3 linked regions of the Drosophila melanogaster genome follow. The protein of the gene in region 2 interacts with the protein of the main gene of each other region in a pairwise test. Each region holds a gene or a part of one and is shown on either strand. Other genes may lie near its edges.

The links.
Region 1: the proteins of Pph13 (region 2) and CG12219 interact in a two-hybrid assay, tested with the Drosophila melanogaster proteins (one large-scale study listed by BioGRID).
Region 3: the proteins of Pph13 (region 2) and CG9578 interact in a two-hybrid assay, tested with the Drosophila melanogaster proteins (one large-scale study listed by BioGRID).

The regions. Positions count from the first base shown.
Region 1 is NC_004354.4:6,298,312-6,303,299, forward strand, and holds CG12219 (uncharacterized protein), read right to left. Parts: upstream 2,975-4,988; 5' UTR 2,889-2,974; coding exon 2,724-2,888; intron 2,658-2,723; coding exon 1,552-2,657; intron 1,487-1,551; coding exon 1,297-1,486; intron 1,214-1,296; coding exon 986-1,213; 3' UTR 743-985; downstream 1-742. Other genes in the region: CG3815 (uncharacterized protein), read left to right, coding at 1-181.
Region 2 is NT_033779.5:575,407-580,216, reverse strand, and holds Pph13 (PvuII-PstI homology 13), read right to left. Parts: upstream 2,732-4,810; 5' UTR 2,225-2,731; coding exon 2,184-2,224; intron 2,063-2,183; coding exon 1,797-2,062; intron 1,734-1,796; coding exon 967-1,733; 3' UTR 668-966; downstream 1-667. Other genes in the region: Ptth (prothoracicotropic hormone), read left to right, coding at 3,617-3,703, 3,813-4,136, 4,195-4,440.
Region 3 is NC_004354.4:20,168,431-20,172,268, reverse strand, and holds CG9578 (uncharacterized protein), read right to left. Parts: upstream 2,048-3,838; 5' UTR 1,921-2,047; coding exon 1,906-1,920; intron 1,846-1,905; coding exon 1,511-1,845; intron 1,424-1,510; coding exon 1,204-1,423; intron 1,140-1,203; coding exon 891-1,139; 3' UTR 743-890; downstream 1-742. Other genes in the region: AnxB10 (annexin B10), read left to right, coding at 47-228, 338-340, 621-677; CG9581 (uncharacterized protein), read left to right, coding at 2,424-2,795, 2,853-3,838.

The DNA.
Region 1 (4,988 bases), on a different chromosome or scaffold from region 2:
CATTGTTAAGCCCGCCTGCCGCTGCATGAACGCCGGACCAGTGCCCATGGTGGATGGCGCCTGGGAGGGATCGGCGGTGCTGGCTCACGGCAGCCTGCTGCGATTCGGTTGCCTGTCGTTTGTGTTTGTCGTGCCGTCGGTGGATCTGCTGCAGGCGCAGGCGCGCAGCAAGCGTTCGTAGAACCAGTACCCAGACTCCATCAGCAGAAGCAGCAGCCTTTAGTTTAAGCATTAAGACACAGAAACATATACGCGCTCAACCGCAGCCAACTCCAGTGGAGCAGCACCAATCTCAGTGGGGCAGCTAGCAGCCAGGCATAGGGTTAGGGTTAGCAGATACCAGTTCAACTTCATCGCATCAATCATCGCAATGCAAAGCCTCGGCAGTACTTTTAAATCACACAATCCTCCAATCCCATCCAGCATTAAGGGTATATATTTGCCTTATGACCAGTGCAATAAATACGGAGTACAAACCACGGATGTGCACGGCTGCAGGCTGATCCATGCCAGTGGGCAGTGGATCTCTGGTATCAAACGCCGTATTTATTGAATTAACCATTACGTTCATAAATCGCATAAACCCGCATCGCATACTTTACTTTTATTGTAAAAACAGATGTATAAATTGCTAAAACGAAATAAACTTGTAAGATCAGAGATTTTTTCACATGCAAATGGATCGATGGAGCCACCAATTAGCAGTAAGCCCCGCCCAATAAGTGCACATGACTTTTAGTTTCTTTTGAAATGAATGTGTTTACTTTATAACCAGATCAAATCCAACTGGTTAAGGCATTATAGAGAACGAGAAGAGTATACACAATAGGTGCCAGGCGGCGGGACGCCTTGACTTTGTGGAGTACACGAAACGTCGGATAAGTACATTCGGTATGGCTAATATGCAAAAAATATATATGTATATATTTGTAATTGTAAAGATCTAAGACTACGCATGCACCGCGTCCAGGTGCCGGCTGCCATCCTAGAGTGCGGCCGCAGGACCCGGCTGAGCCTGTGCCTGTGACGGGTTGGTGTGCTGCATCTGCTCCTGGACGCCAGCCTTGGCCGCCGAGCGCGTGGCTCGCGATCTCTCCCATTCCGCTTTGTGCTTGCGCTTAGTGTGATGGTACATATTCGACTTGGAGCGGAATTCCGTGGGACAGAAGGCGCAGGTGTGCAGCTTGACGCCCGTGTGCGTGGCAAAGTGCTCCTGCCGCAGAAGAATTCATTATCATTAGTGGTATCCATGCAGCTGCGGATAACTGAAACAATGCAAGGCAGTGCAGTACTCACCTCCAAATATCGCTTCATCTTGAAGCTTTTGCCGCACACATCGCATGCGTACTTGGGCTTGCTCAGGCAGCGATGATTCTGGCCAGGAAGCTCACCGCAATTGGGACAAATGATCGAAACGGGTGCCGCATGGATGACAGCCTGCAGCGGAGCCGCCGGTCGTTTATCCGTCTCTGAAGGCGGGTGGTTGCTGTAAGAGATTCGTTAGTAAGCTTGCTGCTTGCTGCTTGCTGCTGGAGTATCCAATCGACTTACCCATAGGGATGCGCCATCATTGTCCCAGTTGTCGTTGTCGTCGTTGTTGTGGCACTGCTCGTTCCTACGGCCGCCGCTGCAGCCGCCGTTGCCGACATGACAGCAAAGAGTTGTTCCTGATGTTGCTGTTGCAAAAGGCTCGCACACAGACGCTGCTGCAGGCTATCCGGTTGTCCTGGCGGATTGCCCGTTAGCGAAGCGGCTGCCACGACAGCAGCGGCTACCGCATTATAATTGGCCAGTATGAGCTCGTTCTCCTTGAGCCTTTTCTGCGGCGAATCCTCGTCGCTAACATCGCTGCCCTCCGTGTGCTGGACCTTTTTGGGCGAGTGCGTCTTTCGGCGACTGGATCGATTGCGTGAGCCCCGACTACCGGATGGCGGTGTCTTGGTTATGGTGAGGTTCATGGCCTCGCTGGGTTGACTCTTGATTACCGACAGCGGCAGCTGTTGGACAGTTGGTGGCGATGGTAAAGGAGCTGCTGCGAGATTGGTGGTGGGTGTGGCAGACGAAGCAGGAGTAGCAGTAGCAGCGGGATTTACTGTGTTTCCAGGAGAAGCAGAAGATGCAGGAGCGGAAGCAAGAGCAGGAGCAGGAGCAGGGACAGGAACTAAAACTGCTGGAGCGGTCTCCTCCGGCGTCGTGTGATTCTGATTCGACTTGGCCGCATCCCGCTCTTCGCGAGCCTTTAGCCACTGCGTGGTGTGCTTGCTCTTCACATGGGTGTACATATTCGAACGGCAGCGGAAGGCCATTTCGCAGTAGGGACACGCAATGGGTCGGTCGCCGGTGTGGGTGGCTATGTGCTCCTCCAGGTAGCGGCGCATCTTAAATGACTTCTCGCAGAACATGCAGGGAAACTTATTCGCCGTTGTGGGAGTCACCACTTTGGGCTCCTCCGCCGGCTCCAGTAGCAATTGCGGTTGCGCATCCAACTGCGTTTCGCTGCCATCCTCCGACCAGTTGACATCACAATCGATAGCCAAAAACTGGCTGCACAGCGTCGTCTGCTTTAGCTCCACCAGCTTCCAGAAGTTGTGGAAGCTCTCCAGTTGCGAGCAGCACTCGGTGCAGATGCAGGTGGAGATGGCGTCGTCGCGGGAGAGCTGCGGCAGATGAGCGGTAGCATTAGGGCGAGGCGGTGGGCTAAATAATCATCAGCGAATACTCACGCAGAGGTACAAGTGAATCGAGATCAGTTGGACCAGGTAGCTCTCTGGCATCGCCTTGCCGTCGTCCTCGTCATCCGGTGCGGGCGCACTGGCTCCGCCGGCGCCGTCGAACAGTAGCACCGCGCTCTGCTCGTCGAGCGCGTTCAGACACAGGCGACAGATCATTTTATTCCGCTTTAAAATATACAATTTTTTTACTTTATTCCATTGGTTTGTGTTCTTCACACGGGCACGGTCACACTTTCACCTAGCGATGGCATTTCGTCCCAATTCAACGCCTATCGATGTGCCAATCGTTACGTGACGTTGGCGCAGGTCGTACTTAACGTTACGTCACGTAACGGAAAAGCGTTAATTCAAATTGCACTTATTTTTGAATTTAAACTTGCTTTATAAAGTTAAATTTCTGTACTTTATATAATAACTTAAAACTTATTGCACTTGAGATTAAGAAAAAATATTAAACTTAGTGGAATATATTGCGTTAGAAAGTATTATTTAGTCAACTGAGTGGTAAATGAAGACTCATGATTGATGTTCCAGGATGCATGAAGAAATATTTGATTGAAGTGGCTCTCAACTAGTGTGTTGCAATTATGCTAAGTTGCGAAGCCAGCAAAACCCTATTTTTCGACCGATCGCCGGTTGCACAATGTCCAATGATTTCTTTTTTTTTTGCGATGAGTGGAGTGTTTGAAGCTTTTGGCGCTTTGCTTTTAGCCTTATCTGAAAAAAAGCATGTATCATTCTTTGCTTTGCAACGAAATGCAACCGATTTGCATGACTTGATGATGCTGCGACCGCAATTAGCAGGCAGTGCTAAAATTCTAACTAATTGATTTGCAAAATGATGCAAACAAAGTTGGCAAACAGCAAGTGCATTATTGCTAAATGCACTTTGCCGTGATTGGCACTCTGGCCAATCGGAATTTTTAATATTCATACACTAAAAACGATTAGTTTTGGGAACAAAGTGCATGTATTTAGTTCAATATAAGGCTGAATATATTTCTCTCAGTGCACCACCCTGCAGCTAAGGTCGCCGCAAAGCGCCAAGAATGTAGCTTACCATTCACATGACCATAATTTCTAACTCCACGCTTGTGAATCTCACATCGTACGTTGACCATTTTAAATTGTCAGTTAGCACTTTTTTGTTGTTGTTGTACCAAACCTCTGACTTGGGCATTGTTTTAAAGCATTTTATGGGTCGGTTAAGTTCCATTTTCAAGGGCAGTCAGCTGTTTTCAAGACACATAAATGTGAACTTGTGCGTGTTTTTGCTGCGTTTGCTTTCGGCTTAATAAGTTTACAGCTGCATTTAATTGGTACAGTCATGCTTCCGTAATTTGAAACCTGATTAAAGTTACTTTTTACTTGAAAATTTGGCTTAACACACATACTTTGTTGTGTCCACGCGGCGTATGATTAATTTTGGGTTGTAACCTCAAGGGCTAAAAGTGAATTCTAAATATCTACCTATACCTATAATAAACTGCTTGGTTGTTAGTACATTTTTATACGCCACTTAAATTCAGTTACTGTATTTACAAAGGCATACATGTCGTATGCGTAATATTCTAGAATCTTCAGTTTTGGTGTCAAAATGTAAAATATTAAATTTTTTTAAGTTTTCAATTTTACTAATGCTTTTAATGTATGTAATGCAGTGAATATGTTATTTTTGAGTTTTAAGCATATGTTTTACTGTGGCACTCGCATAGTAATACATTCGAGCTTAGTGCGATGTTCTTCGTGCCATCAAGAAAAACGTACCCATATTCGCTTTCGCTTCATTTATATATATGTATATATATATTTTTTTTTTTGGTTTTCTGTTGACAGTTTTGTTTTAATTCATGTTCATGCTTTGCGGTCGCCGCCTCAGAGTGGTCGGTTGTAAATAGTTTGGCTTTTGGGCATGGGCTTGGGTTCGGACTGGGTTTAACTTGCGAAACACGTCCGAAAGAGTCGCAGCCAAGCCAGTTCAGTTGGCCAGTTCGTCCGGGAGCAGAGCAGCATAACAAGTGGAGCGCGACTTTGCCTTGCCGAAAATTGTTTGCCAATGTCGCGATAAAGCTAAAAGCCAAACAAAAACAAAGGCAAAACTGAAGAAAAAACGAGTGTAAAAAACCGTGGAAATAATGCCGCCAAACATGGCAATGGCCCAGGTTCGAGCGATGGAAAGCCGGAAAAACCGCACAGCACCCACGCAGTACGCACACGCAAAAAAAAAAGCATAGAAAAAGAAGGTAACAACACACC
Region 2 (4,810 bases):
TCTGTCGGGCCTTTCGCCGCTCCATTCCCCTCAAGCCTCTGGCTTAATTCCAGCCAGCTTTTCTGGCCAAACCGGACGAGTCTTAATCAAGCGAGATGCCCTCATGTGATCTGGATCTCGCCGTGTAATGAGAATAGCATATCTATTGTAGTACTTTAGAACTAACTGACAATTTCATTAAATTTCACCATATTTATCATCTCTGCTGTGAGCTTTTCACTTAATGGAGCGTAGGAGTTGTTCGTTGAGGATGCTTAGGATCAGGAGCTACAGAAATCCTCGTTAATAGGAGTAAATGGAAATTACAGCCAACCAGTGGGCAGGTCAGGGAGGAGCGTGGAGCGGTCTTTGGTAATTGTTAAAAAGCAAAGCAAATGTTATTGCCGAACAAACAGCACTGGAAGCCGAAATCCATTCAAATCGCACAACTAGCTTGCCTCTAATCCGAGCCACAAATAAGGCGTGTGCAGAGGGTAGGGGACGTGGCAGGGGCGTAGGGGGGGGGGGTTCCTTTGTTTGGCACACACATGCGGAATCCATAGAAGCTATGGCTGAGCCTGGCCAGAAAAGGTACCCGTGCTCGTAGTCAAGGACCCGTTCCGTTCCGTTTCGTTTCGATTCGATTCGAATGTTTCGAAATTCACAAATGTACACTACGAAAAATATTCTTTTTCAACAATTCTCGTTGTTTTCAAATGTTATAAACTTACAGGTTCTCTTTATGTAAACCACTTTGCTATTTATCAAGACACATTTCCAGGACTAAAGTAATACAACTTCAGATAAACTAGTATTTAGTACTAAAATTTTTGTAAGTTAACCATCCAAATATTTGTAGTCAAGTGTGGCGACCTTGTTGGGTCTTGAACTTAGACATTAACATTGACTAGAAAACAAGAATATAACTAGAGCAGGTTTCGCACTTCAGTTTACCGCTGAGAAACTGAGAATTCGCCTAAGTTGGATTCACATGACATCGCCAGTGATGACACCACCGCCCACTGGGCCGCCCTCATGCTGGTGATGATGCAGTTGCTCCACGAGATCAGCGATTCCTTCCACGCCTATGCTCAAAGAGGGCAGCGACTTGTCCAGCACCAAAAGAGAGGGAGGCGACTTGGGCTCACCCTCTTCCATGCCAAAGGAGGACATGCCAATCCCGTCCAGGCACAGTTCATTGGATGATCCGACCAGCTGGGAGTGACCGCCGTAGGCCTGCATCTGGGACTGCTCCATGCTCAGAATGCAGTCCGCCTTGAAGCTGTCGATCGTGAACTGGTCCACGTCCACGCTGAGAAACTTCATCTCGTCGTAGGCGGAGGAGCCATCGGTCATGTCCAAACTCAATGAGGCGGCAAACTCAAGCCCCGGATGAAGCTGGGGATTGTGCTGCTCCTGCTGGTGCTGCTGCTGCTGCTGCTGGTGATGACTCGAACTCCCGGCGTGAATCGGATCGGATGCATGCTGTTGAGGCGGGTGCTGCTGGAGCTGATTGTCGGAGTCCATCTGCGGGTGTGTCTGCGCTTGCGTTTGCGGAGGATATGTGGACCACTCCATGGAGAGGCCACTGCCACCCCGCTCCAGTCCCAAGTGGTCAATGTTGAGGTTGAGAAATATATTCGGTGACAGCCTAGAGGGCGACATGGCCCCCGTGCCGTAGGAGGCCTTAAGTTCGTTATCAAGGGAGTTCGAGGATTGCGGTGGGGTGTCCGGCAATAGAGTTCCACCGCCGCCTGAAATCAATATGGGTCATTACTAGCGATGGGTTGATAGGTAACAGAGATATCCTTTCTTACCCAGCGCACTATCCAGTTGGCCCAGGACGGCGCTGTCGTCGTAGGACACGTCGAGATCCAACGCACCCTCCTTATAATCTCCGCCAAGCCCACCGATCTTCTCCTGCTTGCGCCACTTGGCCCGCCGGTTCTGGAACCACACCTGCACCCTCGCCTCCGTCAAATCGATCCTCACGGCCAGCTCCTCTCGGAAAAACACGTCCGGATAGTGTGTCCGCTGGAACGCCCTTTCCAGCTCCTGCAGTTGCAGTGTGTTAAATGTGGTTCTGCGGATCATTAGGAAAACTAGTGTTAGTGCACCTATAGCTTTAGTAGATACTTATGAAACTAGTCCAGTTTTTGGATTTATACCGCGATATATGTACATTTCGAATGTATCTGCTATACCTGTATCTCCGCTGCTTGCGCTTCATTGTGCCTTTGTCCATGCGAATCCTGAGCTTCCTGTTGGTGAACGTTGACGTTGGCGGAGTGGGTGGCGAGTAGTGGCCACTGAGGTGTGGATCCCGCTCAATCTCAATATCTCCCTCAGCGAGGATGGGGCTCTTCAAGCGCGTCGTGACATAGTCGCCGTGTGTTTTTCTATTTTTTAACGATTTTCGTCGACACTTCGAGGGCTTCGCGTCGCTGCTTCTTCTCGCTTTTCCGCTTCGACAAATTCCACGGCGGAAAAACTGCACAACAACAACGGCGAAAGCACGGATGAAGTCTTTGGAGACAGGCAGCTGCGGAGCTCAGCATAAGTCGCCCACCAGCGGAATCTGCATCTCCTCCGCTCCTGGTTTTTTATTCTGATTCCGATTCCAAGTCCCGACTTCCCTTGCTCGAACCTATGTAGCTGCTGATGGCTAAGCGATGTCAGATTGTCCAGCTGTGCATGTCCAACCTTGTGGCACGGGCACTGTTCTTGCCTCGACGACGCGAATTCGACTGAGGAGGATTTTGGATTTCCACGGGGAACAGTGACAGTGCGTGCTGTCCGTCGACAGAAGCCGTAGAAGTCGACCACAGTCCACTGGCACTCGCACACTCGCGGGCTCCCTACGAACAGGGGTATATACTATGTGCCTAAGAGGTCTGACCCGGTCTAGCCTCTTGGACAGTCGTTCTAGCCGGGCTTGTTATGCCAGTGGCGGTGCTCCTCACCCAAACTGGCCCAAGTGGGAGACATAGTGAGCTCATAATTTATGGCAACTCATGGTGCCTTCGGAGGATGTGCATAGCTGGAAAATGTTTAAGAATTCTACATAAGACTATAAACCACTATTTTTACCATTCATCTGCCTTTGCACATTATAAAAACAATATTCTTTAAACAAGACCATGAAACGGAAATGTCATCCATTTGGGGGAAATCCGACAAGTAAAATACAATCGGAATTGCATTTCCCACAGCTCCTCACTCAAAAGTATGCTATGGAAAAAGTTTCGGAGCCGTTTCGGAAACCAAAAATCCAGAAACCCACCCTGGTCAACGTTATCGATGGGAGGAGATCGGATTGCCCTTTGCCTCTGCACACATGTCTGGGTCAGTGGGCTTCTTTTGGCTACTCCCACCGCCCAAAGTTCTCCACCTCTGCCGGCACTTGAGGCCTTAAAGCCATTTCCCCCATTGAAGCATTGAAAGCAGCAGAGGAGTATAAATAGCCGAGGGACTCAACCCCATCAGCCGGGCCACTTGAGCTTGGCATGGCTTGCCATTGTTGTGGTGTCAACTGTGGAGTCCATTGTTCCATCCTGTCCAGGTGACGAACCGTAATGGATGCTGCTGCTCTCATCTCTGGCACAAAAGGTAATCCGAGAGGCGGCTTTTGTCCTAAATGGATATAAAAGTATGGCGACTCCTTGGCCAGAGCTGCAGAAGGAGTACAGCGCTGGTCAGGCACAGATCGAGCATGATGCCGTGGGTAAGTTTCATCTGGATGAGAGCCGAAAGATATAGAAACGAAATTACAAAGGAGGGCGCACAAGGATATACTCCGAACTGAATTCATTTTAAAACCCTTCCGTTCCAAGTTGCCCATTTCCATTATGGCAATGGCGCTGCTTAGCCTGACAAATAAAGGAATCGCCAGTCAGTACGCCAGCGATGAAGGTTTGGACGAGATGGTGGGTCTAAGGAGTCTGGAACACCGCGCGGAGGAGCAGCAGCCCGATCGCAGTACATCGAAAATGCTCAGTGCCCTATTCGGATTCAGTCCCAGCACTCCACATCCCACAGAGATGGCGATGGTCATGCCCCATCAGCTGCCGCCCATGTACTATAACGATTTCTATGAGGATCTGGTGACCACCAAACGCAATGATGTCCATTCCGCAGGCTGCGACTGCAAAGTTACGGTTCGTTGGGATACCATTCAGCCGCGTCAGATGTTTATAATTATTTTGTTATTCCCAGAATGAGCTCGTGGATCTGGGTGGTCTGCACTTCCCTCGCTTTCTGATGAATGCCGTTTGCGAATCGGGCGCTGGTCGGGATCTGGCCAAGTGCTCGCATGGATCCAATTGCAGGCCACTGGAATATAAGGTAAAGGTCCTGGCACAGACCTCTCAGTCCGATCACCCCTATTCGTGGATGAACAAGGATCAACCTTGGCAGTTCAAAACGGTCACCGTAACTGCCGGCTGCTTCTGCACAAAGTGATTGAAAGGATGTGAGCAACTATCGTGAATGTGAATTAATTGTATATTAAAGCGCCAAAAAGACGTCAAAGTTGCTTTATTGTGGGAGAGATTCGATATGAAACAGATTGTTATTTTTAAGGCATTCTTTTGATTCTTATATGTAGCTTAATGTTCATGTTTGAGCTTTCTCTTAGATAATTTGTCTAGGATATGTCGTGGATGCAATTCGTATTCATCAGCAAAATTCGAAATAAAGCAATAATCAAAATAGCTCTTGTTGTCATTGATGCACGAGTATAAAAACTGTCCCATAAACGTAAAAAATCTAAAAAACTTGAATCCAGAGAAACAATTTTGTTACAAATAAAATGTAAAGTATTAGAAAAGAA
Region 3 (3,838 bases), on a different chromosome or scaffold from region 2:
GTTGTAACAGACACTTGGTTAAATGACACACTTCTTAACCTTTTAGTTGAGTGCGTCCAGTCACCGGCGGCCTTCTTCGCCAACCGCCTGTACAAGGCCATGAATGGCGCCGGCACCGATGACGCCACGCTCATCCGCATCATCGTCAGCCGCTCGGAGATCGACCTGGAGACCATTAAGCAGGAGTTCGAGCGGATCTACAACCGTACGCTGCACAGCGCCGTGGTGGTAAGTGGATCTCGAAGAATCGCGAGTGCTTCGCACATGGTTAACGCACCCCTTTCCCCTTCTCTTCACGTACTTGTCGGCATTTGTTGCGGTGTTTGTGTTGTCCTAGGACGTAAGTATTGGCCACGCCATTGGTGAAACGGATGTATTCCTGGTCTTGGTTACTCCACGTTATCAAGTGTTCCTTTTACGCTACATATGCTGCCAAAATCCCCATCAAATTATTTCTAAGAACGCCGAAGCAAACTGGTTCTTGGGCATTTTTCGATATCTCATTATTGGCTTGCCAAAAAAGTATTTTCGGGCAAAGTAGTAATTGTAGTGTAGAGGGCATAGCCAAAAAAGCAAGAACTTGGATCTCGCTTCAATACGTTCCTTTCTTTACTTTCCAGGCGGAGACCTCTGGTGACTACAAGCGGGCCCTGACAGCCCTACTTGGATCCGCCTAGGCCCGAGGATGTGGCAGCTGGTCCGCCCAATATTTTATTCGTGTTAATAGCTTTGATCGTAGTGTGCCTTTTAGGAAAATCGCTTTTAATGTCGTCTGCGCATGCGCACACTGTTGGCAATAAATAAACGCATATAGCAGCAGTTGTAACCAATGCGACGACTGACATAAACCTAGAGATCTGGGATCTGGCATCTAGCATCGGACATCGGGACTACTTAAAGAAGAGCTTGTGCAACTGCTTGGACTTCACGGGCACAAATTCTTGCATTTCATCCGGGTTGGTCCAGAAGGCCACACAGTTTTGAAGCTCAGTGCAAGGCGCCTCCCGATGGATGTACTCTTTCAGGATAAAGTCGTTCTCGATCTCGTGGTGGAAGCGGGTGTCGTGCATCCGGATTAGCACGTGGTCCACGCGCAGAAAGTGGCGCAAAAGGATGAAGAAGCCAGAGGGCATCACGCGCTGTGCCAGAAAGAGTTGGGCTTCTTCGATAAGGGCTCTATAATTTGTATTTATCAGCACTTACGATTCGCACGCTCATCACCGATATTCCGTGGTCGTGCAGCTCATCCTCGAACAGAGTTAAATCGTGGTAGAAGATGATGTTCTCGCGCTGCATCAGCTTGAACTTGTTCAGCGTCTGATTCGTGGTCTCCGATCGCACTTTTTCGTTCATGGTGCCCTGGTAGGTGGAGGTGAATGTCCAGTCGAAAGGCTTGAACTTCTCCTCCATTGTCTGCTCGTTACTGGAGTATAGAATTCAATCATTTGGGCGATTTATAGAGGAACAACAGTAGAACGATCCATATCCCAATCTCAATGGGAGTACCCACCGCGTTTCCCGCCACTCCTGAGCACAAGCGACCTCCAGCGGCTGCTTCCCATTGTCCACCAGCGCCAGCGCGTCCATGGGGCAGAACTCGAGAGTGGCGCCGTCCTTGTGCTGTAACACCAGCCGATTCTTGTGGAACACCATGTCGGGCAGGTGGGGCAGCTGCAGGGAGTGCTGGTAGTGGCAGAGGTCGCAGCGGTCGGCCGAGTCCTTGGGACAGCACTTGGCGGTGCCCAGTTGGCAGCTGCTCTTCAGGATGTGCGACTTCTCATACTTGATGGCCCAGTCGTGGAACTGGATGAACTCGCTGTCCACCGGCAGCCGGGGCACAAAGCACTGCAGGACGGGATTACATTGAGTGTTTGGCCATTGGAACTGGGCTATACCAACACATACCTCCTCCATGGACATTCTAAAGATATGTCAAATGATTTCAAAGTGTCTGTCTAAGTCGAAAATACTGTTCCAAAGCCCCCTATTGATCCTGTTAAAAATTTTTGTTATTATGTTAGGGATGCCAATGTCGATTACTTCTAAAGCTTAGCGGCGGTACTATCGAGGTTTTTCGATTGCAGCGCAATATTTAAATGCTATGGGGCGAAAGCAATCAAGTTGGCGTACTTGAGTGGATTCATAAGCTTATATAAGCCGTGGTTGTACACAATTCGAAATGAATCGCGTTTTTTGAAAGCTGCTATAGGTAAGGCGAAACTACATTCACATAGTTGTATAATTTTACAACGATAGTTATCGACATCTGTCAATCGGCGGGACTCTTGTTAAGCAATCGTCTGGCAACCCATGTGTTTTGTTTTTATCCAGGATCGTTAGTGTTTTTAACAGTTCCGTTTTCTGATGTGTATAATATTGTGAAGATTTTAGTTGGCAACCCAAGAACCGGAACCGGCAGCACGATGAATATCCTAAGGCGCCTGGACCGCCTGATCGCTCCCACCGTCCGCCGCAGCGCCGCCATTTCCACCAGCCTGTGGCCACACCGCTGGATGAGCCAGTCCACCACGATCTCCCCAGGAAGTCCCAGCAGCAAATCGACAGTAAACGCGGCCGAGGTGCGTGGCGTGGCTCAGATTCTGCGCCAGCAAAAGGGAAACCTGGGACAGCCCACCAGCGTCTCGCATCCACATCTTATCCAGCCGGACGAGCTGGTTCCGGGCGTGGAGCTGACCGAGATCAAGGAACGCCGTTCGCAGCTGATGCAAAACATCCGCGCCTATGCACGCAGTTTCGGCGGCGAGTTCAATGGGCACTCGAGTTCTTGTCACATGGTGAGGACCTGCAGGCTACAAAGAGAAGCAAAATATATAAACTTGAATCTCTGACAGCTCGTTCTGGGCGCCGCCTCCAAGAAGTATATGAGCGGCAAGATCCCGTACGTGTTCCGCCAGAACTCGGACTTCTACTACCTAACTGGCTGCCTAGAGCCGGACGCCGTGCTACTGCTGACCATCGACGAGGCCCAGAACGTGCAGTCCGAGCTGTTTATGCGTCCCAAGGACCCGCATGCCGAGCTGTGGGATGGTCCGCGCACTGGGCCCGAGCTCGCGGTGCCGCTTTTCGGAGTCACTGAGGCCCATCCGCTGTCCCAGCTGGAGGCGGTGCTGGCCAAGCGCGCAGGCGCCCTAAAACCACACATCTGGTTCGATCAGAAGAGCACCGACCTGCCGTCCCTGGCGGAGAACATGCTGCGATTGAGCGGCAATCAGCAGCGTCCGCTGCTGCCGGCCTACACTTTCCTAGAAGCCATGCGCCTGCTTAAGTCCCGCGACGAGATGCAGTTAATGCGGCGCACCTGCGACATAGCCTCACGCTCGTTCAACGAAGTGATGGCCGAGACCCGGCCAGGTCAGTCGGAGCACCATCTGTTCGCCGCGATTGACTACAAGTGCCGCATGCGCAACGCCAGCTACCTGGCCTACCCGCCGGTGGTGGCTGCCGGTAAAAACGCCACGGTGATCCACTACGTGGCCAACAGCCAGTTGTTGGGTCAGCAGGATCTCGTGCTGATGGACGCCGGCTGCGAGTATGGCGGCTACACCAGCGACATCACACGCACCTGGCCGGCGAGTGGGGTTTTCACGGAGCCGCAGCGCACACTGTACGACATGCTGCACCAGCTGCAGGAGGAGATTATTGGCAACGTGATGAAGCCGGGCGGCGAGACGCTCGACCAGCTGTTCGAGACCACCTGCTACAAGCTGGGCAAGTACTTGCAGGAGATCGGGCTGGTGGGCAAGTCGTTCAGCGAGTACAAGGAACTGGTCAGCCAGGGCTACCGCTTCTGTCCGCACCACGTCTCCCACTACCTTGG